6 linked regions of the Sus scrofa genome follow. The protein of the gene in region 1 interacts with the protein of each later gene in a pairwise test. Links are inferred from orthologs where the notes say so. Each region holds a gene or a part of one and is shown on either strand. Other genes may lie near its edges.

The links.
Region 2: the proteins of EFEMP2 (region 1) and CREB5 interact in binary tests that used the Homo sapiens proteins (3 or more experiments, as listed by UniProt). The two-hybrid records come from large-scale screens. The link is inferred for Sus scrofa from reciprocal best matches to the Homo sapiens genes EFEMP2 and CREB5.
Region 3: the proteins of EFEMP2 (region 1) and UBQLN1 interact in binary tests that used the Homo sapiens proteins (3 or more experiments, as listed by UniProt). The link is inferred for Sus scrofa from reciprocal best matches to the Homo sapiens genes EFEMP2 and UBQLN1.
Region 4: the proteins of EFEMP2 (region 1) and IL16 interact in binary tests that used the Homo sapiens proteins (3 or more experiments, as listed by UniProt). The two-hybrid records come from large-scale screens. The link is inferred for Sus scrofa from reciprocal best matches to the Homo sapiens genes EFEMP2 and IL16.
Region 5: the proteins of EFEMP2 (region 1) and AMMECR1 interact in binary tests that used the Homo sapiens proteins (3 or more experiments, as listed by UniProt). The two-hybrid records come from large-scale screens. The link is inferred for Sus scrofa from reciprocal best matches to the Homo sapiens genes EFEMP2 and AMMECR1.
Region 6: the proteins of EFEMP2 (region 1) and NUFIP2 interact in binary tests that used the Homo sapiens proteins (3 or more experiments, as listed by UniProt). The two-hybrid records come from large-scale screens. The link is inferred for Sus scrofa from reciprocal best matches to the Homo sapiens genes EFEMP2 and NUFIP2.

What each region holds. Positions count from the first base shown.
Region 1 is NC_010444.4:6,453,665-6,457,954, reverse strand, and holds the start of EFEMP2 (EGF-containing fibulin-like extracellular matrix protein 2), read right to left. Parts: upstream 2,801-4,290; 5' UTR 2,702-2,800; intron 2,345-2,701; 5' UTR 2,285-2,344; intron 1,977-2,284; 5' UTR 1,970-1,976; coding exon 1,859-1,969; intron 1,633-1,858; coding exon 1,584-1,632; intron 974-1,583; coding exon 767-973; intron 1-766. UniProt on the Homo sapiens protein: Plays a crucial role in elastic fiber formation in tissue, and in the formation of ultrastructural connections between elastic laminae and smooth muscle cells in the aorta, therefore participates in terminal differentiation and maturation of smooth muscle cell (SMC) and in the mechanical properties and wall integrity maintenance of the aorta.
Region 2 is NC_010460.4:43,851,977-43,855,476, reverse strand, and holds part of CREB5 (cyclic AMP-responsive element-binding protein 5), read left to right. Parts: intron 1-757; coding exon 758-988; intron 989-3,500. UniProt on the Homo sapiens protein: Binds to the cAMP response element and activates transcription.
Region 3 is NC_010452.4:31,313,916-31,318,021, reverse strand, and holds the end of UBQLN1 (ubiquilin-1), read right to left. Parts: coding exon 3,974-4,106; intron 2,499-3,973; coding exon 2,346-2,498; 3' UTR 501-2,345; downstream 1-500. UniProt on the Homo sapiens protein: Plays an important role in the regulation of different protein degradation mechanisms and pathways including ubiquitin-proteasome system (UPS), autophagy and endoplasmic reticulum-associated protein degradation (ERAD) pathway.
Region 4 is NC_010449.5:50,095,937-50,099,391, forward strand, and holds part of IL16 (pro-interleukin-16), read left to right. Parts: intron 1-2,834; coding exon 2,835-3,093; intron 3,094-3,321; coding exon 3,322-3,447; intron 3,448-3,455. UniProt on the Homo sapiens protein: Interleukin-16 stimulates a migratory response in CD4+ lymphocytes, monocytes, and eosinophils. Primes CD4+ T-cells for IL-2 and IL-15 responsiveness. Also induces T-lymphocyte expression of interleukin 2 receptor. Ligand for CD4.
Region 5 is NC_010461.5:90,312,208-90,315,707, forward strand, and holds part of AMMECR1 (AMME syndrome candidate gene 1 protein), read right to left. Parts: intron 1,858-3,500; coding exon 1,767-1,857; intron 338-1,766; coding exon 241-337; intron 1-240.
Region 6 is NC_010454.4:45,496,588-45,500,087, forward strand, and holds part of NUFIP2 (nuclear fragile X mental retardation-interacting protein 2), read right to left. Parts: coding exon 2,458-3,500; intron 1-2,457. UniProt on the Homo sapiens protein: Binds RNA.

The sequences.
Region 1 (4,290 bases):
GCACAAATAAGAATCTGCTGGTCTGGAGTCCCTGGGATATCGGCACCCCTACCCTGGGAGACCCCATGTCAGGGAAGCAGAGGAAATAAGGCCCTGTCCATGCTCCCAGGAACACTGATTGATTCCAGAACCTTCTTCTGAGGCCTATAGCACCCAGGAGTGGGGTGCAAACCAGGAAAGGGGAAGAGGCTGACAGCGAGCGCTCCCGCGGTGCACCTGCAGTGATCAAAAGGAGGATCCCGGAAGCTGGCTGGGCATGGGACGGGAGCTGGGCAGGCCCCCCACAGTGAGGATCTGGACAAGGGGCTGGATATTATTATGCCAGCGGCCCCGAGGAAGCTTTTTATTTTTTTATTTATTTATTTTATTTATTTATTTATTTATTTTGTCTTTTTTGTTGTTGTTGCTATTTCTTGGGCCACTTCCGCGGCATATGGAGGTTCCCAGGCTAGGGGTTGAATTGGGGCTGTAGCCACCGGCCTACGACGCCAGAGCCACAGCAACGCGGGATCCGAGCTGCGTCTGCAACCTACACCACAGCTCACGGCAACGCCGGATCTTTAACCCACTGAGCAAGGGCAGGGACCGAACCCGCAACCTCATGGTTCCTAGTCGGATTCGTTAACCACTGCGCCACGACGGGAACTCCCCCGAGGAAGCTTTTGAGCCAGGGAGGAACATGAGCTGTGAGTTTTTAAAATGCAGTGATAGACACTTGATAGAAGGATTGGAAGCCTCAGCACCAGGGCAACCGACCCTCACTCACCCACGCAGTTCTCTTGCTCATCCGGTTCATAGCCTGGTAGGCAGGGGGTGGCGTGTTCAGCAGGGGACACTGGTGGTGGTGGTCCCTCGCCATGCAGGTCATTGATGACAGCCGCCGAGCGGGGCAGGCACAAGTAGCCCCCGTAGTGGTTGATACATTTCATTTCCCCCTTGCAGGCCTCGGGGATGGTCAGGCATTCATTGACATCTGCGGAGAGGGGCCTGCTGGGCACAGCCAGTCTCCTGGGCTGGCCACGGAGGGGGTGGGCGGCAGGAGCCCAGTGCAGCCTCCTCTAAGCTGCGTGACCCAGGAAGGGCCTTCCCACTCTCCTCAGCTAAGGCTGCCTGCCCAGGACCACTTCCCAGTGCCACCAGGGCTGGTGGCAGGCTGGCTCTTGCTCCACTCACTTCCATTCTCTTATCCCCAAGAGGGTCTCTATGCCGCCCCAGAGCCCTGGTCCCAACTCAGCCCAAGAGTGAGGTGCAGGCCTTCTCGCCCACCCCCGCAGACGCTGCCCTCCCAGGTCACGATGGCACGAAGCTGGGTGGGAAAGTGATTAGAGGAGGTGGCCAGGAACCATGCCTCTGGGCAGCGCCCTGTTGGTCTCTGGACTCCTGGGGGGTGGGAGGAGGCTGTCCCATGTTTTTCTGAGAGGGAGGGGCCTGGATGGCTTCTCCACCCCCAGCTAAGCTGGCCCCCTGAGAACCAGAGCTGGCCACGGCCAGGCAGAGCTGGGCAGGGGACAGGCCACTGACTCCCACAGCAGCTCTCCGTGCTGGAGTTGCAATCCACTTCCTGGTGCTCCAAGCATACTCACCCCGGCAGTGCTGGCTGTCGGGGTCCCACTCATAGCCATCTGTGCATTCCTACAGGGGGACCAGAGGTGGCCAGTGGTCACCCCCTCTCCTCTAACTGACCAGGCCAAGACCAGAGCCCAAGCTTGGCCACCCTCCCCGCCTGCTCCAAACAACAGCTCCAGCTGCTCCACGGACCAGGGGAGGGGAGAACCTGCCCCAGCAGCAGCCACCCCAGGATCCTGGTCTTGGTGTCCCTGCCCAGCCCAGCCCAGGCCAGGGGCTCCACTGTCCCCACCGTGTAGCTGTCGGGCTCCTCCGAATCCTGGGGAGACGCTGCCCCCAAGAGCAACAGCAGCAGCGTCCAGAGCAGTAGAGACCCGGGGAGGCAGGAGGCGAAGGGGAGCATCCTGGGGCTGGGAGGTAGTGAGTGGGGGTCAGGGCGTCTGGGCCACGGATCCCCCATTGCCCGAACCAGGACTCAGAGACCTGGTCCCCGACACCACCCGCCCGGGACTGTGTCTGGGGCTTCGGAGCCTCCCAGGGCCGGGGGTCGACTGATCACGCAGGCCGGGGTTCAGGGCCCACCCGCCCCGGGTCGCCCCGCCCCCGCCCGGTCCCCCAGTGGCTCGGGCCGAGGAGCGCAGGCCTCTGGCTCGGTGCTGACGCCGCCGACTCGGCCGAGACTCTGGCTGGCGCCCTCCCCCCATGGACGGCCACTCACTTGGGCCCGTGACGGCCCGGAGGCCCGCGGCTCCGGCGGCTCGGCTGGCTCCGGTAGTGCCTGCGGGAGACGGACAGGCGGACAGCGCAGCTCCCTGGACGCGCGGCCCCAGGAAGCGCCCCCCGCCCGCCTGCCGCGGCGCGGCCCACCCCGGCGCCTCCGCCCGCCCCTCGGCGGATTCCTGAGCCCGCGCCAGGGGGAGGGACCCCGACCCCCGCTTCTCCGCCCCCGGCCGGCCACAGGCCCCACCCGGTCCCCCGCGGCGCCGCCCGGAGCCGCCTCCCGGCGCCAGGCCAGGGTCCCTTAGCACAGGATCCTGGGGCATTGACCCTGATGTCAAGCCCCCAACTCACTCTGGAGCCCCCAGGCTCTCAGTTTGTGCACCCAAAAATGTCATCCTGCGCACCTAGACCTTACCTAATCTGCACCCCTGGAATTCCTGTGCACCCACATCTTAATGCCAGGGACCCAGACTCTGCGCCTCCCAGAATGTCATCCTGGGCCCTTAGACTCCACCTAACCCTGGAACTTGCAGATCCTCCTCACTCTGCGCCACCAGAGTGTTATTCTGTGCACCCGGACAGTTATTCTGGAAATACCACAACCGCAACTTCATCCAGGGTCCCCAGACCCTCGCCCTGAGAAGAGAGACGCTCCCAGGTCCAGAACCGTCCAGTTCTGTCCCTTCTCCCTTCCATCCCCGGGACTGTCTTCAGCCAGGCGGTCCCTTCACTCCAGGACGGCCTCCCCCGGGCCCTCAGTCCCTGAGGCTACATCAGTTTGGGGCGGGGGCGGCAGTTCACTTTTGGCTCAGAATGAATGGAAGCCCCTGAGAAGTCGAGCAGGGCTGAACTCGGGCGTGCAGGGCTCCAGGGTCCGGGGCCATCACCTTCCTGGCCATCTTCCTACCAATGTCTCCCCCGCACACACCCCACCTCCCTGCCCCGGGCTGTCTGCCTCTTTTCCCAGGGAGACGGAGCGCCTTAAGGGGAGGAGATTGGGCGGAGCTGGCTCCCAGGAAGGGGCGTGGTCTCGCCCTGCCCACGTCTCAGGGCGGGGCCAGACGGGAAAGGGCTGCGTGTCCAGGGAACCCCTGCCTGGAGGCAGATGGCCAGCAGGAACTGTTAAGCCCTTTCCCACCCCAAGTGGTCCTCATAATCGCCCCCTATAGCAGCCCCGCCCGAGGGGGGTGTGTGAAGGAGAGGACATTCCAGGGGGTCCTGAGGTGACCCTTTCGGGTTCAGGGTGAAATGGAGAGCTCCTACCTCCCCTTCCCCCACATCCTCTAAGCAGCCCCCTCTCCCCGCATCCCTGGGGTGAGGGCGGGGGAGGAGGCTAAAAATAATAACTCCTTAAAACCAAAAAGACAGACAATAACAAGTGTCGGGGATGTTAAGGAGAAATTGAAACCTTGAAACGGTCATACACTGTGGGTGGGAATGTAAAGTGGGAGGACTCCTGGGGAAAACAGTCTGGCAGGTTCTCAAAATGTGAACACATGCCCCAGTGATGTCCCGCCTAGGTATACGCCCGGGGCATTGAAAACGTATGTCCACACCAAAAGCCTGTGCACGATGGTCATAGCAACACTAGTCATAAGAACCAAAATACAGGAGTTCCCCTCATGGCTCAGCAGTTAACAAACCCAACTAGCATCCATGAGGTCCTGGGTTTGATCCCTGGCCTTGCTCAGTGGGTTAAGGATCTGGCATTACGTGAGCTGTGGTGTAGGTCAAAGACGTGGCTCAGATCTGGTGTTGCTGTGGTTCTGGCATAGACCAGCAGCTACAGCTCTGATTGGACCCCTAGCCTGGGAACCTCCATGTGCCATGGATGCAGCCGGAAAAAGACAAAAAGACAAAAAAAAAAAAAAAAAAAAAAAAAGGACCGAAATATAGGCGTTCCTACTGTGGCACAACAGAATCAGTGCCATCTCTGGAACGCAGGTTGAATCCTGGCCTGGCACAGTGGGTACCCACATTGCAGTAGCTGCAGCAAACACCGCA
Region 2 (3,500 bases), on another chromosome or scaffold:
CTCTCCCTGGTGGATGAATTACAGGGCTCCTTGCTGCTTCGGGCAGGGACTTTCAAAGGCCCTGCTGCTCAATCACCTTGACAGCCCTCCTGTGGCTCCCTCTGCCTCGGTCAAGCTCTGAGGAGGAGGCAGACCCATCTGGAGTTTGCAGGTCCAGCCAGGCCTTTGGATGGAGAACTGTGATCTTGTGACAAAAGGAGTTGAGCCGCTTTCCAGGCTTCGCAGGGTTCTTTTGAGAGGCGTCACAGAGGTGATGCTGGCCCAGAGGTGTGTTCTAGGAACGTGGCTTTGACACATGAAAGGCATTCGCCGCCTGCCCCAGACGACTTTTCTGTACCTGCCAGAAGACCCATCCATAGGATGACCATCACCCTGTCCTCTCTGTTTTCACCTGTGACCATCACCACACGGGGGCGCTTTCACGATTTACAACGCCCCTTAAAACGTTTTTAGCATCAGAGGAGAATAAATGTTTCTTTCATCCTGATTCAGCCAGATGCCATTCAGGGGAAAAAAAAAAAAAAATCTCCTTGACTCCTTTTCACAAGGTATCGCTTTATCTGGCCAAAATATCATAGAAGATAGCCGGGCGATGCGTCTCCTCCTCCTGAGCGTGGTGGCGTCACTGACTTCATTCTTAGAAACCACGTTGGACGTGCTTCACGCACGCAACCGACGGCTCTCTGTGCTTTGCATGTCAACACCTTACCCCCTCGTCCCTTCTCTCTCCCCCTCACCCCCTCCCTCCCTTTCCCAGCAGGTCTCACCAGCGACACAACAGATGCAGCCCACCCAGACGATACAGCCGCCCCAGCCCACAGGGGGGCGCCGGCGAAGGGTGGTGGATGAGGATCCCGACGAAAGGCGGAGGAAATTTCTGGAACGGAACCGGGCCGCCGCCACCCGCTGCAGACAGAAGAGGAAGGTCTGGGTGATGTCACTGGAAAAGAAAGCAGAAGAACTCACCCAGACAAACATGCAGCTTCAGGTGCAGGCCACTGTCTCTCGCCCCACACTCAAAGGCCCTGTGTACAGTTGGCATGTCCTGCCCCGCAGGCGCTTGTTGACCTAAGTAAGGCCACCCGTTAGCCCACAGAGCAACTGCAGGCTTACTCCCCAAGCTTGATGAATTCTGAGACACTCTGCCAAACAAGACAACTGTTCAGTTTTAAAGCAATCTCTTCTGGGGCGGGAGACTCTGCCCAACTAAGTTGTAAGACTGGCAGCAGAAGCTTTGGTCAGAGGTTCAAACTCTTGTTCAGCACCTATGTGCTGTGTTTAACCTCGTTGGCTCTCAGTGTCCCCATGTGTAAAATAGGAATAATAGCCTCATAAAGTTATTGGGAGGAATAAATGAACTAACGTCTCCAAAGTCGTTGGCACAGTGCCTGGCACATCATAAATCCTCAACTGAAAGGCGATCCTTTATGTTCGCTGGATGAGGAGTTGCTTCAGTTTATACCAGATTATCTGTATTTTTGTTTAAGGGGGAGAGGGGAGTTTGTGTTTATTATTTTGTTCCATAAGAAAAGGCCTGTTTCCATCTCATTTCAAACTTGACAATATTCGACTTTTGCATGAGTTTTGCATTTCATGGGTGGCCCAATGGGGGGCATTTTATAACAAGGCCGTTTCTAGGAGTGTTTGAGAAACTCGAGGACCTCGGGCTTCTCCAAGCGGACTTCATGCCTCACAGATGATGCAGTTTAGGGCATTTGTTCTGATATGGAAAGGAGTGCATGGTTCACCAGCAAATGAAAAAGCAAGTATTAGATTATGCGAAGCAGTGTAGGGATAGCAGTAAAAAATGTGGATTATAACCCAGTACTTCCAGGAGCAGAGAGAGTGGCTAAAGAGTAGAGGGAAGAGGGCACAGAGTGCCCCAAACAGGGAGAATCTGCTCCTCAGTAGTTCATAGGTCACCTTCGCCCCTACCCCCTGTTGTCTGTGCATCCTTAGAAAGGAGCAGTGAGGGTGCCAAACCCACAACCCTTTGAATATTTCATTCTGTGACATTGGAATGGCCTTGGGGTGTTCAGTATACAAATGGAAAGTATACGAAGAACGTGTGGGCTATACATGGACCAACTGTCATAATTTATGAAGGTTGACTCCCCCCCCCACATTTATCATCTTTATATGACAGACATAAGAAAGAGCTGGGAAACCTCTATCGCAGACATGGGGGAAATAAGATCATTCCTTCCACTGGTGTGCATGCTTCATGAAGGTGGGGGCTATGTTTTGTTACCCTCTCCCCTGACCTCCTACCCTCCTTTTCTAGTGTCAGGTCTAGCATGGAAAGTTCCTGAGAGCCTGTATTCAATATCTATTTGTTGAATAAGTGAATGAGTTCTTGGACCCTCTGGAGGGTCCAAGAACTGGCTGCCTGACCACTTGGGCGAGGATGTGATTGAGGGAATCAAGCCGCAGGGGGATGGCGGGACTCAAACACCTCCGAAGCCTCTCTGACTTAAAAGTCTATAATTCTAGAATCTGGCAGGCATAGTAGTATGTGGGAAACTTTTAAGTAGACCACGAGTACACACTTTTAATATTAATAATCATATTTCAATGTTCATGTGTATCGCAAAGTGTAATTAGAACATCAGACCTTCAATTTCACAGGTATTTTTGGTAATGACCAGACTAAGTCATTAAAAAAATGAGTTAAGTTGTATAAACACGTTAAGTAAATAAAAGTCCTGGTGTATGTGACCCAGCAAATAATAACTGCAGTGGTTTTGTAATGACTGAAGTATGAGAACCTCTGGAACTTGCAGCCAGTTCCAAGGTCCACAAGAGGACCATGGACGGGTGTTGGTTTTCTTAATCTTGGCGCTACTATTTTGGGGCTCTAGAATTCTCTGTTGTCTCCTGCACATTGTAGATACTTAGCAGTATTCTTGACCTCTAGCCACTAGATATCAGTAGCACCTTCTACCCGAATCTCAAGTTGTGAGAACCAAAACGTCTCCTGACATTGCCAAATGTCCCCTCTAGGGGGCAGAATTACCCTCAATTGAGAATCACTGGCCTAGATGAAGGAGCCATGGGCAGCCAGCTGACATGGAGTCAGAGGCCGATACATTTTTAAATCAGTTTTAACTAAAATGAATCCCTGCAGAATGACTCTAGGGTATTGACTATCATTCTGGAGCATGAAGACAGGGAGGGGGTCATGGCAGAGAGCCAGGAAAAGTAAGGACGCTGGTTTACTTTGAGGTCAGAAGGTTCATGACTTGACATATGCATATGTTCTAGCTTTTACTTAACATGTCAGGTAAACATATGAGAACCTAACATATTGATTTTCACATCTAGAGCCAAATCAGCTAAGTTTAAGAGATGCTAGAATTATAGCTCCTGAATATCAGGGGGAAAAATAAGTTCTCTTTGGGCCGTTCAGCAGGCACCAATGTTTTGGTTGTTCAAGCCATGCCTGGGGAAGGGATGGTCTTCAAAAAGACTAAGTTGTTGGTGTCTTCCAACCACTGCTT
Region 3 (4,106 bases), on another chromosome or scaffold:
ATTTTGTAATAAACTAACATGAGAACAATTTACAGTATTTCAAGATTCTTTTTTGTGCTTTTAAGAATTGTACAGAGTTTGAACTCCTTAAAAAGATAATTCAGATCTAAGATGAACATACTACAAACAAAAACAAAAAAACAAAATCACACCAGTACAACAATTAAAAGGTACTCAGGAGACCCTTTAGTGAGTGTTGTATACAGGCCTCACCACCACTTTCCACAGTGAAGAAATCCTAATGCCCTGATTCAAAAGGCGAATTAACTAATCACATACCAAAAGGAGTGAACAAAGCCCAGGCCACCTAACTTCTCTGTTGGCTCTTTTTAACACACTATATGGTATACATGCACATATTTCAATTGCAAACAAAAAAAAATTAACAAAAAATAATCTCAAGTGTGATAAAGTCTAAGGTAAATCAACTTCAATAGTCTTTAAAAGACAGTTTGAGCAAGACATCTTTTTCTTTCTACAAAAAAAGCAAGACAAACAAGTGTAAAAGCTAGAGATTTATTGTTATTTTGTGATTAATAAATTGTCAAATTGGTTATGACACTATCCCATACTGTATACCACCATTGGCCAGTACACAAGTTTTTCAACCGTACTGAGGCATAAGGCAAGAGAGCACAGAGACACATGAATACCATCCTTAACAACTTCCTCTTCGTCATGCCTCCACCTCGACCTTTGTACATGGTTTTCTTCCTGGGGAAAGTGTCACAACAGTGCACAAAACGGTGGGCAACCTGGCCTCTTTACTTTTTTTTAATAGCAAGCAACTTACAGAAGTAATGGAATTCAACTTTATTTCCCTTGATTTTACTGGTCTGAATTCATTTTAGGTTACTTTAACATTTTAATTTCCTGTAACTGTACATGAGAGAATATAATGACCTAAGAGAATACTGCATCAGAGTCAGCCAAATATATTACTGACCCAAAAGTTATGTTTTAATTGGTCCTAAAGGAATGTACCACCCCAACAGTTTGAGAGTTAGGCAAACGACTTCTTTGGGGAAGGAAGGAAAAAGCTGTAGAACAGCCAAATGTACTCAACATTGTTAAAACGGCTCTGTTTTCACCCTTGAATGATACTTCTTTACTACACTATATGCACAGAAATCCTAACAGAATCTTGGTTGCCAGTATTATTTAGGCTGGCCCAATCCAGGATAGATCCCCTCCCCACCCCCCAAATTCCCCTTCTCTCAGGCTCTGAAAAGCACAATATTTAACTATTTCTTAATAGAACTACCAAAACACTTCAGAAACAAGTGGCTCACAAATCATTTTAAATTCATGTATTGCCTGTGCATGAGAAAAATGATAAACCCAAAAGATAGTTCTATTTTTATATGGCGATTAAAAATAAATGAAACATCAAGACACTTTCAGTGAAAGCAACATTTCAATTACAAATTGTAATGCCTGTTAAACTACCTATGGGAAAAGCTGAAAAGTCCTAGGCGAATGCACTTTTGGGTTATACTAAGTGCTCCTTCAGTCTGCACAAAGATTAAGATAATTTACAATCTGTGAATGTTGCGACAATGTTACATTATGATGTCTATACAATTAAACGTCCTTAAAGAGATAACCAGAATCAGCTTTTCTACTATATTTTCAACAAACCTAATGTGTACTTTTGCTGAAAGATGTTTATCAAAGATGCTGTAAGATCTTACACAATTAGGAAATACTCAGCTTTAAAGTTATTTCCTTATCTATACTTTTTCAGTTGCAGATGTTCTGCTCAGATAATCTACTGCAGTATGTTTCTAGAAATGCAGTTCCAAATGTGCATACATATACTGTATACAAATAAAGCAAAAACTGTCAGTGGTATAAATCTTACAGCATTTTTGTTTGCAAAAATACATGCCAAAGTCACAATAAGCGATATTGTACCACAAATTATAGAGCGCAAATGATTTGCTTCTTTTTAATGCTTTTATTCTACATAAATTACTACCATAGGCTAATGTTTAAAAAGCAAATAAACTGGACAGATGCTGGACAAAAATTCTGTTCACCCAACTATAAAAGGTGATATATTTTTTAAAAATTACAATGCAGAAGTGTTTGATGCATGCAGTAGCCTTAAATGAAAAAGCATTGATTCCCACTGTTCCAGGAAAACAGAAAAAAACAAACAAACAAAAAAAACACAGAGAAACCCACACATCTTACTGCACTCCACCTTAAAATGCATCATATTGGGTTTGTTTATAACAGCACAGAATTCCAAGAGTCAAAATGAAATAAAGCGGGTATTTTAAAGATTTAAGAGCCGTTATCAAAAATAAATTACATTTTTTCAAGATACAGAAAGGCTGCTATGACGGCTGTGAGCCCAGTAACCTTTCAATAGCCGCATTGATATCACCTCCTGTTGCTATTAGCGCTTGCAAATTTGCTTCACGGTTCAAAAATCCCATTGCACTGAGCTGTTCCAGTTGCTGTTGAAATCTGACTTCTGGATTCTGTAGCTGTTAAGAAAAAAACAAACCAAAACTCTTAAGGAAAATCGGTCCATGTCACACCAAAATAATCTTTTAAATTTTTAAACTGCTTTTCAAAATAACATATCCTAGTCTACTGAGCTATAAAAGCACTGGCCTCTCTTTTGAAACCTTCGACGTATTTAAAATCCAGTTATCACTTTAAACAGTCTATACCTAAACAATTATGTCAAATAGAACACATAACTCTGCTTTTAAAAAAAGCTTAATAAACGTCAACCATTATTTTAGATTCACTTAAGAAGCTCATAGAACATTCAGGAAAACTTTAACAAGTATGTTTAAAGGCATGCAAAATTGTGGTGCAGTAGGTTAAGGATCTGGTGTTGTCACTGCTGTGGAGCCAGTTCAATCCCTGGCCCACGAACTTCTGTATGCCACAGGCGAGGCCAAAAAAAAAAAAAAAAAAAAAAAAAGAGGTATGCAAGTAGTTTAGCATTAGATTATTTCTTTTGTAGCTAGTGACCAACTGGGTAATTACAAAAGCCAGTGTCTTGATGTATAAAATTCTAAGTTTTAATGTGACTCAGAATATAGATTTCTCTATTGGCTAGTTAAGTGTTCAGAAAAGAGTTCCTATTTCAGATGCACAGATTATACTCTGACTGTTCAATTGCATCTTTTTCAGAAATGATGTTAAGAAAAAAAAAAATACATAAATCACCAATTTTGGGCAACCTGATAATAGTGAGGTCTGTAGATTGCTCACCTTAGATAACTACTTTGTCTAATACATGACATCGTTTTTTTAAATTTATTCCAAGAATATTTACTGAGCAAGTTATGCTCTATATTGGGAATACAAATACTTACATAAGATAAAACTCTGACCTGTTTATTGTGTTTCGCCCCACAGAAGTTTAAGGACAAGCTACTGTAGTAAGTATGAACTAGCAACCATCTGTATAATGGCATATTCTTAGTAAATAAATGTTTCCAGATGTAAGAACATCATTAGTTCACCTTTTTCAGCCATTTGTGAGGTGTATAAAAGTGATACAAGTTACCACAGGAGGCACTCGTGGGTGGGTGAGGCAGTTAGGACTTTTTAAAACTCAAAGTACAATGACTAGACAGAATATAATTGTTCAAGAGGTATCTGGGACAATGAAGTTTCTGTTCTTTTCTGACAAACTTGTATTTATAAAATATAACCTATTTCAAATAATTTCCAAACAGGGACTCCAGAAAAGAATGCATTTTTAAAGGCAACTTCCAAAAATTAAGGCAAATCACTTCTTTCTTCCCTACAACTACAACATTTCCTTTAGTGTCTAATACAGTACCAAAGTTAACAACTTTCGTAATGCCTGTTTTTTAGAATCAATATCCTTAAGAATGTGCTTTCTACTATAGACTAAACCTAAAGGCACAGCCACTTTTTCTTTTTAATGTATTTATTTTTTTGAAATTTCCAAATTTCTAACATTAAAAATCATTACCTGAGGATTCACTCCAGCAAGAGCCTGCAGCATTTGCTGGATAAACTGCTGGTGTCCAGGTTCAGTGGTTCCTGCTGTGGGACTTGGGTTTTCACTAGGTGCAGAATTAGAGCCATTGGTTCCTGAAGAGCTT
Region 4 (3,455 bases), on another chromosome or scaffold:
TTGACCAAGAGCAAGCTGGGAACTCCCTGCCATGTTCAACAGATCTTTCCCACAGCTCAGGATGGGCACGTGCTGGCACGTATGCTTCCTTTAGAGCGGAGCGACTGAGAAGCAGAGCAGAGACTCTGCTTCCTACTGGGATCTTACAGCCTGGGGACCCTGACCTCATCTGACCACCTAACAGAATTTTCCCAACACAGAAACAGTTTAGAGAAACAAAGAGCCTCGTTCAGATGACAGTAGTCAAGCCACAGTTAGCACAGTGAGGGGACCACCCGGCACGCTGTCACTCGATCCTCTCAGTGAAGCGCATTAGAACTCACATCATTAAAAAGCCCAAGGGAGAGTTCTGTTGTGGCTCAGTGGTAACAATCTGACTTGTATCTATGAGGATGCAGGCTCGATCCCTGGCCTCGCTCAGTGGGTTAAGGATCTGGCGTTGCCATGAGTGACTCGGATCTTGCGTTGCTGTGGCTGTGGTGTAGGCCAGCAGCTGTAGCTCCAATTTGACCCCTAGCCTGGGAACTTACATATGTTGCATGTGCAGCCCTTAAAAAAAAAATAAAGAAAAAATAAAAAGACATAAGATTTTTTAAAATCTCACATATTTTTTCAGAAAGGGAACTGGAGCAGGGGTTGGTCCCTTTTAACTGGAGTTAAACGACCAGAATTTTTAGGAGGGAGCTTTAAAAATGTTGAGACTTCTTAGAGCAGGAATTATGCATTCTGCAGGAGATGGGGCCTGAGACTTTCTCTGTGAAAAAAGGATGTCTTTGCTGAGACGCTTTTGGGAATCACTGCATTATTATTTAAAATTTTTTTTTTTTGGTCTTTTGTCCTTTTAGGGCCACACCTGTGGCATATGGAGGTTCCCAGGCTAGGGGTCCAACTGGAGCTGTAGCAGCTAGCCTATGCCACAGCTACAGCAACACCAGATCCGAGCCGTGTCTGTAAACTACACCACAACTCACGACAACGCTGGATCCTTAACCCACTGAGCAAGGCCAGGGATCGAACCCACAACCTCATGGTTCCTAGTTGGATTTGTTTCCACTGCGCCACGACAGGAACTCATAAAATTTTTAAATTACAGTTGATTTACAGTTTTGTGCCAGTTTCTGCTATACAGCAAAGTGATATATATATATATATATATATATACACACACACACACATTCTTTTTTTTATTCTTTTCCATCTTGGCCCGGGGGATCACTGTTACTGCCTGTTCTTAGAGAGCTATCATGCAAATTCGCACTGTAGCATTTCTAATATATTTTTTAAACTGTAGACACTATCAGACTTGTATTTTATCCAATGTTCTTAAGTTTCTTAGACTTTAGAGTCTTTTCTTATATAATCCCTATTACATGGCACAGAATCAGTGCTCGGAGAAAATTCCTCTGGAAATGCTGATACAGAGCAGGTATGGCAAAAGATTTTAACTGAGGAGTTCCCACTCTGGCACTGTGGGCTAAGAATCTGACTGCAGTGGCTCAGGTTGCTGCAGAGGTGAGGGTTTGATCCCTGGCCCAGTGCTGTGGGCTAAAAGATCTCATGTGGTGTTGCCACAGCTGTGGCTCAGATTCAGTTCCTGGCCCGAGAACTTCCATATGCTGCGGGTGTGGCCATAAAAAAAAAAAAAAGATTTTTACCAAATGTTAACTAAGATTGTAGTGATGTAGTCTAGGACCTTATGTTGGGAAGGATTCTGAGGGTCAACTGGGCCATTTTTGCTAATGATCTCTGCTTTGGGTGGAGAAGGAGGGGATGCTGGTCAGCAGCCCTGATCTAGCGCACATTTAGTTTTATTTTCTCTGGCTTAAGAATGTCCTGGGAGGCGCTAGTTCCACCCATGTTGCTGCAAATGGCATTATTTTCTTTTTTTTATGGCTGAGTAGTAGAGACTCTCATACTAAGTGAAATAAGTCAGAAAGACAAAGACAAATACCATAGGATTTCACTTCTATCTGGAATCTAATATACGGCACAAATGAACCTTTCCACGGAAAAGAAAATCATGGACTTGGAGAACAGACTTGTGGTTGCCAAGGGGGAGGGAGTGGGGATGGACTGGGAATCTGGGGTTAATAGATGCAAATTATTGCCTTTGGAGTGGATAAGCAATGAGATCCCGCTGTATAGCACAGGGAATATATCTAGTTACTTATGACGGAATATGGGAGGGTAATGGGAGAAAAAAGAATGCATACATGTATGTGTGACTGGGTCACCTTGCTGTACAGTTGAAAACCGACAGAACAGGGGCGTTCCCGTGGTGGCGCAGTGGTTAACGAATCCGACTAGGAACCATGAGGTTGCGGGTTCGGTCCCTGCCCTTGCTCAGTGGGTTAAGGATCTGGCGTTGCCGTGAGCTGTGGTGTAGGTTGCAGACGTGGCTCGGATCCCGCATTGCTATGGCTCTGGCGTAGGCTGGTGGCTACAGCTCCGATTCGACCCCTAGCCTGGGAACCTCCATATGCAGTGGGAGCGGCCCAAGAAATGGCAAAAAGACAAAAAAATATATATATATAAAATAAATTAAAAAAAAAAGAAAACTGACAGAACACTGTAAACCAGCTATAATGGAAAAAATAAAAATCATTTAAAATTTAAAAAAAGCCAAGGCTCTGTGTGTGTGTGTGTGTGTGTGTGTGTGTGTGTGTGTAAATAAAATCTCCTGGGAGATATATATAGATATGTAGATATAGATATAGATATCTAGTATATATATAGTACCTTCTGGGTTTGACTGACTGGTTTGAATCTTGCTCCAGCAAGAATCTGGATCCAGCATGGTGAGTCCTGGGTCCTGACGTCTTTGCTTTGCTCAGGTTCACAGGGTGTTCCCTAATGGGTTGGCCTCCCAGGAAGGGACTATTCAGAAGGGCAATGAAGTGCTTTCCATCAACGGCAAGTCTCTCAAAGGGGCCACACACAACGATGCCCTGGCCATCCTGCGTCAAGCTCGGGACCCCAGACAAGCCGTGATTGTCACAAGGAAGCCAACCCTGGAGGCCTCGCCTGACCTCAACTCCTCCACAGATTCTGCAGCTTCCGTCTCTGTGGCCAGTGACATCTCCATAGACTCCAGTGAGTTCTCTGTGCCTGATGGGAGCCCCGTGGACCCTCTCATCTTCAGATACGTGAGGGAAGCTGCTGGGTGACATGAGGGCTGCCTTGCATGCTGCTCAGATGTGTCTGGGTTCATCTGTGCACGGGCCCAAGTTCACTGGCCGCATCAGCCAGGCTTGCGTGATGTGCCCTGTCTGTAGGCTGGAGAAGAGGGCGTCCCTAACAAAACCCCTGTGTTTTTCTCAGCAGCAGAGGCCACAGTCTGCACGGTGACCCTGGAGAAGACCTCTGCGGGGCTGGGCTTCAGCCTGGAAGGAGGGAAGGGCTCCCTGCACGGAGACAAGCCTCTGACGGTTAACAGGATCTTCAGAGGTAGGCTG
Region 5 (3,500 bases), on another chromosome or scaffold:
CAAAGCCAGAGGAATCACACAGAGTGAAGATGGGCTGGGTGGGCCCATACATCATACAGGCTTTGCTGCCAAGCAGAGGTTCCACTGTTATCCGCCCCTCAGTATGGCCCAGCCATTCATTTCCACTCTGTTTCAGAAAAGAGAAGCAAGCACAGTTAGAGAGACCAAAGAAATCAAAAGGTTACAGGTATACACATCAAAATGTACTAGGCAGCCTTGCACTAGGAAATGCTTCTGTACCTGGTCAGTTTTATGGTTTTCCTGAATTCATTAGTAATCGGAGCTTTGTATCCTCCTTTCCTCAGTAAGGAGTCTATGGTCTGAATATGGTCCCATCCTGTGGAGAGTAGACCAGATAAAATACCAGTCAAGCACATGTAACGAGCACCTGTGGTCAAATACAAAATGACTTTGTAGAGGTCAGCGATCACTGTCACCAAATGCCATCAACCCCTTTGGTCCTAAAAACAGTCACACAGAAGAGCTAAGGCTGCATCGGGTACAGAAGCAGGTACCGCCCAGTACGCCTTATATCCTAGCTATACCCCCGATGGCTAGCAACCTTGGCCTCTTTATCTCAACCGCATTCGGAGGCAAGGAACCCAAGAGGCTGGCAGTAACGGCTCTGTCGTGTCTCACATAACAAACCACAAACGCTGTGCCCTCCTCCACCAGGGACAGCTTTAAAAGGGAGGGAAAAGCCTCACTGAGCCAACGCAGTAGTAGTTAGGACTCCCACACTAACTCATGGTCATTGCCATGTTTAGCAGCATCTTCTGTAGTCGATCAAGGGCATCTGTGTGCAGTATTCAAAGGCGTTTTTATTGTTTCTGACACAGGATGGATACTCATACCCGAGGCCCTCTACCTCTCAGGTCTGCTTTACAGAGTCACGGAATGCAACTACAGAATTAAGACATTTTCTAAAGCAACCCAGATCTTCAGATAGCTGCTTGAAAGACTGACTCTCTCGTTTGGGGGTGTGGGGGGGATTTAATGATATTAAATTTGGCAGTTATACATCTCACATTTACATGAAACAGATATGGGAAAACGAAGTACAAATGCTTTCTGATGAGAGGAAACGCTCCATGAGATAAAGAAGAGACATTGCTTTGAGCTAACCTGACACCAGAATTTAGCAGTGGGTGGAAAGGAGAGGACAGTGCAGAGTGAAATGTTATTTTGTGTGGCAGTGGTAACTCATAAAGGTGTGTGCTACGGCGGTAAAACGGAAAAAAAGTTTGATTAGGAACATGTAAAACACTAAAAATGGTTCATATTTTCTCAATGCTCCTAATCTTCATGGGAAACCTACGATCGTAACGGCAGCACAGGAAGTAATGGGAACCAGCTAAGAAGGAAACATTTGATACTGACAATGAACTGCGTGGCTGGCCGCCAAGCGAAAGGCTGATTTATGCCACGAGGCTAGAGTACAGTGGAATATGGGAAGATGGCACCTCAAATTCATAGCAAACCACTGCCTAAAACAACACTCAATTTTTACAAATCTTTGCTTTTTTTTTTGAAAGTACACTTTTGTATGTTTTTGCCGTCAAACTTTAGTGCAGAGGTGCAACTTTTGTGTGAAGTCACCGATTTCATTCAGACATTGCAGTGGCAGTGAGGGAAGAGTCATTTCTTATCATTAATTTGACAGTGATCAATTATCAGATAAAACTGCAAGGTCAGATAGCGCATTTCAATTTGTGTATTTGTTTCAATTCTTCACCAGATCATATGAAATAAAGTACAACAATGACCTTGCTCCTTTGCAACCTCCGGTAGGTAGGTGGCGGTGCGTTTTGATCCTTTTTCATTGATGAATTCTATTCTAATGCCATGTACACCCACCTGAAAGAAATTGGCAGTTTTATTAGTACAGTCTTCTTCATAGAAACAGAAAGAAAAAGTTATAATTTAACTTTCAAGAGAATGCAGTTCTTCCTTTCCCCTTGTTTTTGGAAGGGCATGTCTGTTTTCTCTTTCCGAGACACTGACTTTGGGACTGAAGGTCGTGATGACAGCCATGGAGGCTCAAAACATCGATGTGCATGTGACCAACATGCGCTGGGCCACGCCATTCTGTTTAGAACCAGAACCACCATGCTGCGCCTGGGTGCAGAATAAGACCATCAACGCCAAGAGTCCTGCCCTCCCCCGCCCCTGCCCCAATTTGTGGCTCATGACAATAAGGGGCAAGATCCAGGGAAGTGACTTCAGGGAGAGAGCAAACAACCCTCCTGCTTTCAGGGATGATCACCGTTTCAGATGAAGTCCCCACATTTCTGGGGCTGCTGATTCCCATCCCAAACTGTCTAGTAAACCTTGACTTGTATGTACATAAACAAACAGAGAAGACCCCCCCCCCAAAAAAAATCCAACCAGATCCTATGAGCTTACCCATTACAGATTGTATTTCTAAAAAAATGTATTATGGCCAGTGGCAAACCCTCACCGTCTATCTACAAAGCTGCTACCAAATCTAAAAGCAATAAAGATTGTGAATTGCTTCAGGGCAGGGCGTTTCTGCACAGCTTCTCATATACCAACCCAGAGACCACTATAACTTTATCACGTGAAACAGACAAACTTTTGGTGGCGCCCTAAAAAAGAGTCTAAGTAAGTAAGTGTGTGCAATTTCTTGCCAATGGTTTAAGAAAAGTTACATATTGTTTCTTTGAGGTAACATTCAACCAGAAGAAAGCTGTCCTCTCCCCTCACGTCTCACAGAGAATAATAGTGCAGAGAGGAAAGATCATTAAAAAGTTCTTGACGTCCTTAGATACACTGATAATAAAAATGGCATTTCAAAAGTATAACCTCTCCATTCTCTTCTCCCCAATCTGTGGTTGTTTAGATCAGTGGTTCCCACGTGGAGGTTAAGATCGTCCAAGGTCCTGGAGGGAAGATGTTAAGACCAGGTAAACATTTTTACCTGAGAAAGAGGCTTCTTTGCAGAGCAGGCGGTTACACCCATACATCTGTATGGATTGTCAAGGTCTAGAAGAGGCAGAGGGGGTCCCCGAAAACTTCTTTTGCTTCTTCTGTGCTTACTGGCCTTTTTCAGAGAATAAAAACTCCTCTGGAGTTCCCGTCGTGGCGCAGTGGAAAGGAATCCGACTAGGAACCATGAGGCTGCGGGTTCGATCCCTGGCCTCGCTCAGTGGGTTAAGGATTCTGGCGTTGCCCTGAGCTGTGGTGTAGGTTGCAGACACGGCTCGGATCCCGCGTAGCTGTGGTGTAGGCCGGCAGCTCCAGCTCCGATTCGACCCCTAGCCTGGGAATGTCCATATGCCGCGGGTGCGGCCCTCAAAAGGCAAAAGGCAAAACAACAACAACAAAACCTCCTCTGGGAAATCCTTTTCATTTTTCCTCCCAGGTCTTCTGCACATCCATCCATTAGCGTCTGTCCGATCTTCTGATCAGTTTATGTTTTTTATGAAAGCCTATCTCTGTGGCTCTTTTCTTCTATCTAAGATCAGTATTCGTATGAA
Region 6 (3,500 bases), on another chromosome or scaffold:
ATCAAAAGTTGTAAAAGAAAATCCCCAAAACAAGAATTCCCATCAGTTTTTTTTTAATGCCTCACTGTATCTTCATTTCTTATCAAGTAAACTGAATTCAAATTTTTTTAAATCTGCTGTAATGTTTAAGGCTGCAAGTAATTAATGTTTCATCTAAAAAATGTACCATTACTATTAAACTGACATAATGCATAAATAAAGTTGCTAAACAGCTCATTTTCGAAGTCAGCAAGTATGCACAGAACTTTCCATTCTAAGCCTAACTTCATTCAACTTACTAAGAAATTACTTTAAACATTTAAAGACCACACTAAGCCACCAACAAAAAAATACGAGGTGTTCTTTTAAAGGATATTCCAATAATTCCTATTGGTTATTACCTTTTAGCACCTAAGAAAACTTAAAAAAAAAAAGAGGCAAGCCTTCGTTGAAGAAAAAGATCTTTCTATCCTCAAAAGACTATGACTCAAAGCAAATTTAAATAAAGGAAAAATTAGTGACCTAATGGACCAATCTACATTCAGCAGGAATTCAAAGAACTGCCACTCTGGGACCTAACTGAACTATTATTTGTTTTTGTTCTAGGGAGGAAAAAACAAACAATACCAATTTCATCCCAGTAATGTTCAACTACACAACTCAACGTGATAAGACTTTACTAAAGCAAATCTTTCAGTAACATCAGCAAAACTAAACACAACTGCATCTAGGTAGGGGCATTTGGTTTAACTAAATACCACTGATTTATTTTATATTTAGTTAGCTTACCAACAGGGCAAATGCATACAGAATACTTGAAGATAAATAGGAATGTCCCATTTAAAAAGACCTGCATTTCTCCATAATAATCACACATTAAACCACCAACCAAGAACCTAGTAACAACTTGCCCCAGGATTTTTCCAGGTTGTGGGACAACCAGATATCCTCAGGCTCAGGCAACCATCACCAGTATAACATACTTTAATAAAGTATAATGATCTCTGGAGGGAAGATGGCACAGAAAGTAACATCAAAAACACTATAAACTTCCCCTGACAGAACTTAACTTTTAATTAAGCAATGTCTTAAGAAACTTAAGTATTTTTTTACTCTAACTCTCCTAAAAGTATCTGGCTCCTGGTTAACTCACATTTACTTCCAAAGAGCAGTGCTGGAGAAAAGTAAAAACAAACCCGAGCCACAGCAGTGACCATGCTAGATCCTTAACCTGCTGCACCACCAGGGAACTCCTTTACTCCCATTTTTTAAAGCAAAAAAATTTAAAGGGTTATCTATTTTACTAAACATCTTAGTCTGCAGATAAACAAAGGTATGGAGACCAGGTAATTTGCTTAAATCACAGGAATTGCTTTGTTATTCATCTATGAGACAGTGATTCTTCCAGGGAAAACATAATTACCTCATCTCTACTATCTGATAACATGCTGCCTCTTCCCTGCAGTTGCGTATCACTGCCTGAGCTGTTGCTAAAAAAGCGATATATACGTGCACTATATGTTAGGTGTGCATGCATGCACACATATGGAGCTGTTAGGGGAGGTTGGGGAGACTGAGAAGGAAAACTGATAACCACTGTTCTTGAAAGTGAAGAGGTGCTTGTAAAATCATGTCAACATTCATGACACAAAAAAACATTGTTTTAAAGGATTTAAACTAGTTATGCCATACAGCAAGTTTTTAAGACTTGAATAAATCGTATCCTAAGAAAGCTATTAACATGGAATTTTAAAGACATCAAATTCCTTTTTTTTTTTTTTTTTGCTTTTTAGGACCACACTCACAGCGTATGAAGGTTCCCAGGCTAGGGGTCTAATCAGAGCTATGGCTGCAGGCCTACACCACAGCAATGCCAGATCTGAGCCACGTCTGCAACCTACACCACAGCTCATGGCAATGCCTAATCCTTAACCCACTGAGCAAGGCCAGGGATCGAACCTGCAACCTCATGGTTCCTAGTCAGATTATTTCCACTGTGCCAGGATAGGAACTCCTATCCAATTCCTTTTTAATGCTGGCTTTGAGGCTATGAAAAAAAGTGCAGACTCCAAAAGCCTGGTCCCTACAATGCTAATTGTACTTGCCATTGTAGTTTGATTAAATAAGAGAAAAAAAATCGACCCGCCATCTCTTTGGACTCCTCTAAAATACTGCTCTTGCTCGTTTTAAGGAAATGAGAACTATCAAAGTGAGCTCTCTAATAAAGAAGTATATAGTATAAAAAGCAAAGGAGAGGGAACATCTGTTTCAAGAAAAAATTTATACTTTTACCATAGTATTTACAAAGACCCGGAGCTTAGAGTTTGGTATCAGCTGCTAATCCACATTGTTATTCTCAACTAAACTATGGAATTCTTAAGCTCATCATAACTTCAAAAATTCACCCTTAATAGAACAGCCAATAAATGTATGTTAAAATAATCAGTAAGAATCTTCGTATAGAAACAGATGAGTTACCTTTAGTGTGATATACAATAGCAGCCCTCAGGTCAAAAGAACCCCAGCTATCATTCCTTTCTAGGCCTCTCTGGTATCTCTGTTCTTTGGCGGAGCCTAACAAAGTGTTCGTAGGAGACGCCAGAGGATTTTGATTTTCTATCTCATAGTCCTTTGAGAGAAACACTAAAGCACCTTGACTACTGGTGTCTGCTTTTTGCAGGTCACCTATATGACTGGGTTCCAAGGATAAGGCTCCACTCTCACTAGTAGTCCCAGATTTTAGAATGCTACCCAGAACTTGAGGACTAGTCCGTTTTTCCAGCTCATAAGCCTTGGGAAACACAGGATGCTCAGTTCCTGAGGGGATTATTTCAGCACCCTGTGAAACCAAAGTGGCAGGATATTCCCCTTGAAATGTCACCTCCATCACTTTATGATCTGATGATTTCCCAATAACAGTCTCAGGGCCAGCACTGGGCTCATTGATAAATGATAAACCCCATTGATTCTGGAAGATATCCCCCAGGTTTTGCTGATCTGTCTGAGAGGGTAGATCCACTTGTGCTGTGCTCAACAGCACAGTTTGCATATTTGAAGGGTAGATAAAAAGGCTGGACTTAATTTGTTCAACAGCTGCTGAAGTCAGACTCATGTCTTGGAGAACTGAATCAGCCCCAGAGGAGATGGGTGCTAGAGTATTAGCAGCAGTAGTTAGCAGTGGCTGACCCCCTGGAGAATATACACTTGCATCAGTCCCTGCTAAAACTGGCCCATTAGAAAAGTTGGCCGAAGTAACAGATTTCAGCGCTGACATAGGGACCTGGGATAATCGACTTGAAGGTTGGGTCTGAGTTTCCCCAGCTGATGACGAAGAAGATGAAGATGAAGATGAAGATGGTGACACGGAAGAGTTCTGTACAGTTTTGTTGAGGTTTTCCTTAACTTTGCTTGCATAACTTATTTTAGGAACTATTTTAGCACTGCTATTGTCCACTGGAAAAACTGGGGGTGGTTTAAATAGGGTCCACGAGTCCTCTTTGGAGGCAACAGCAGAAGTATGC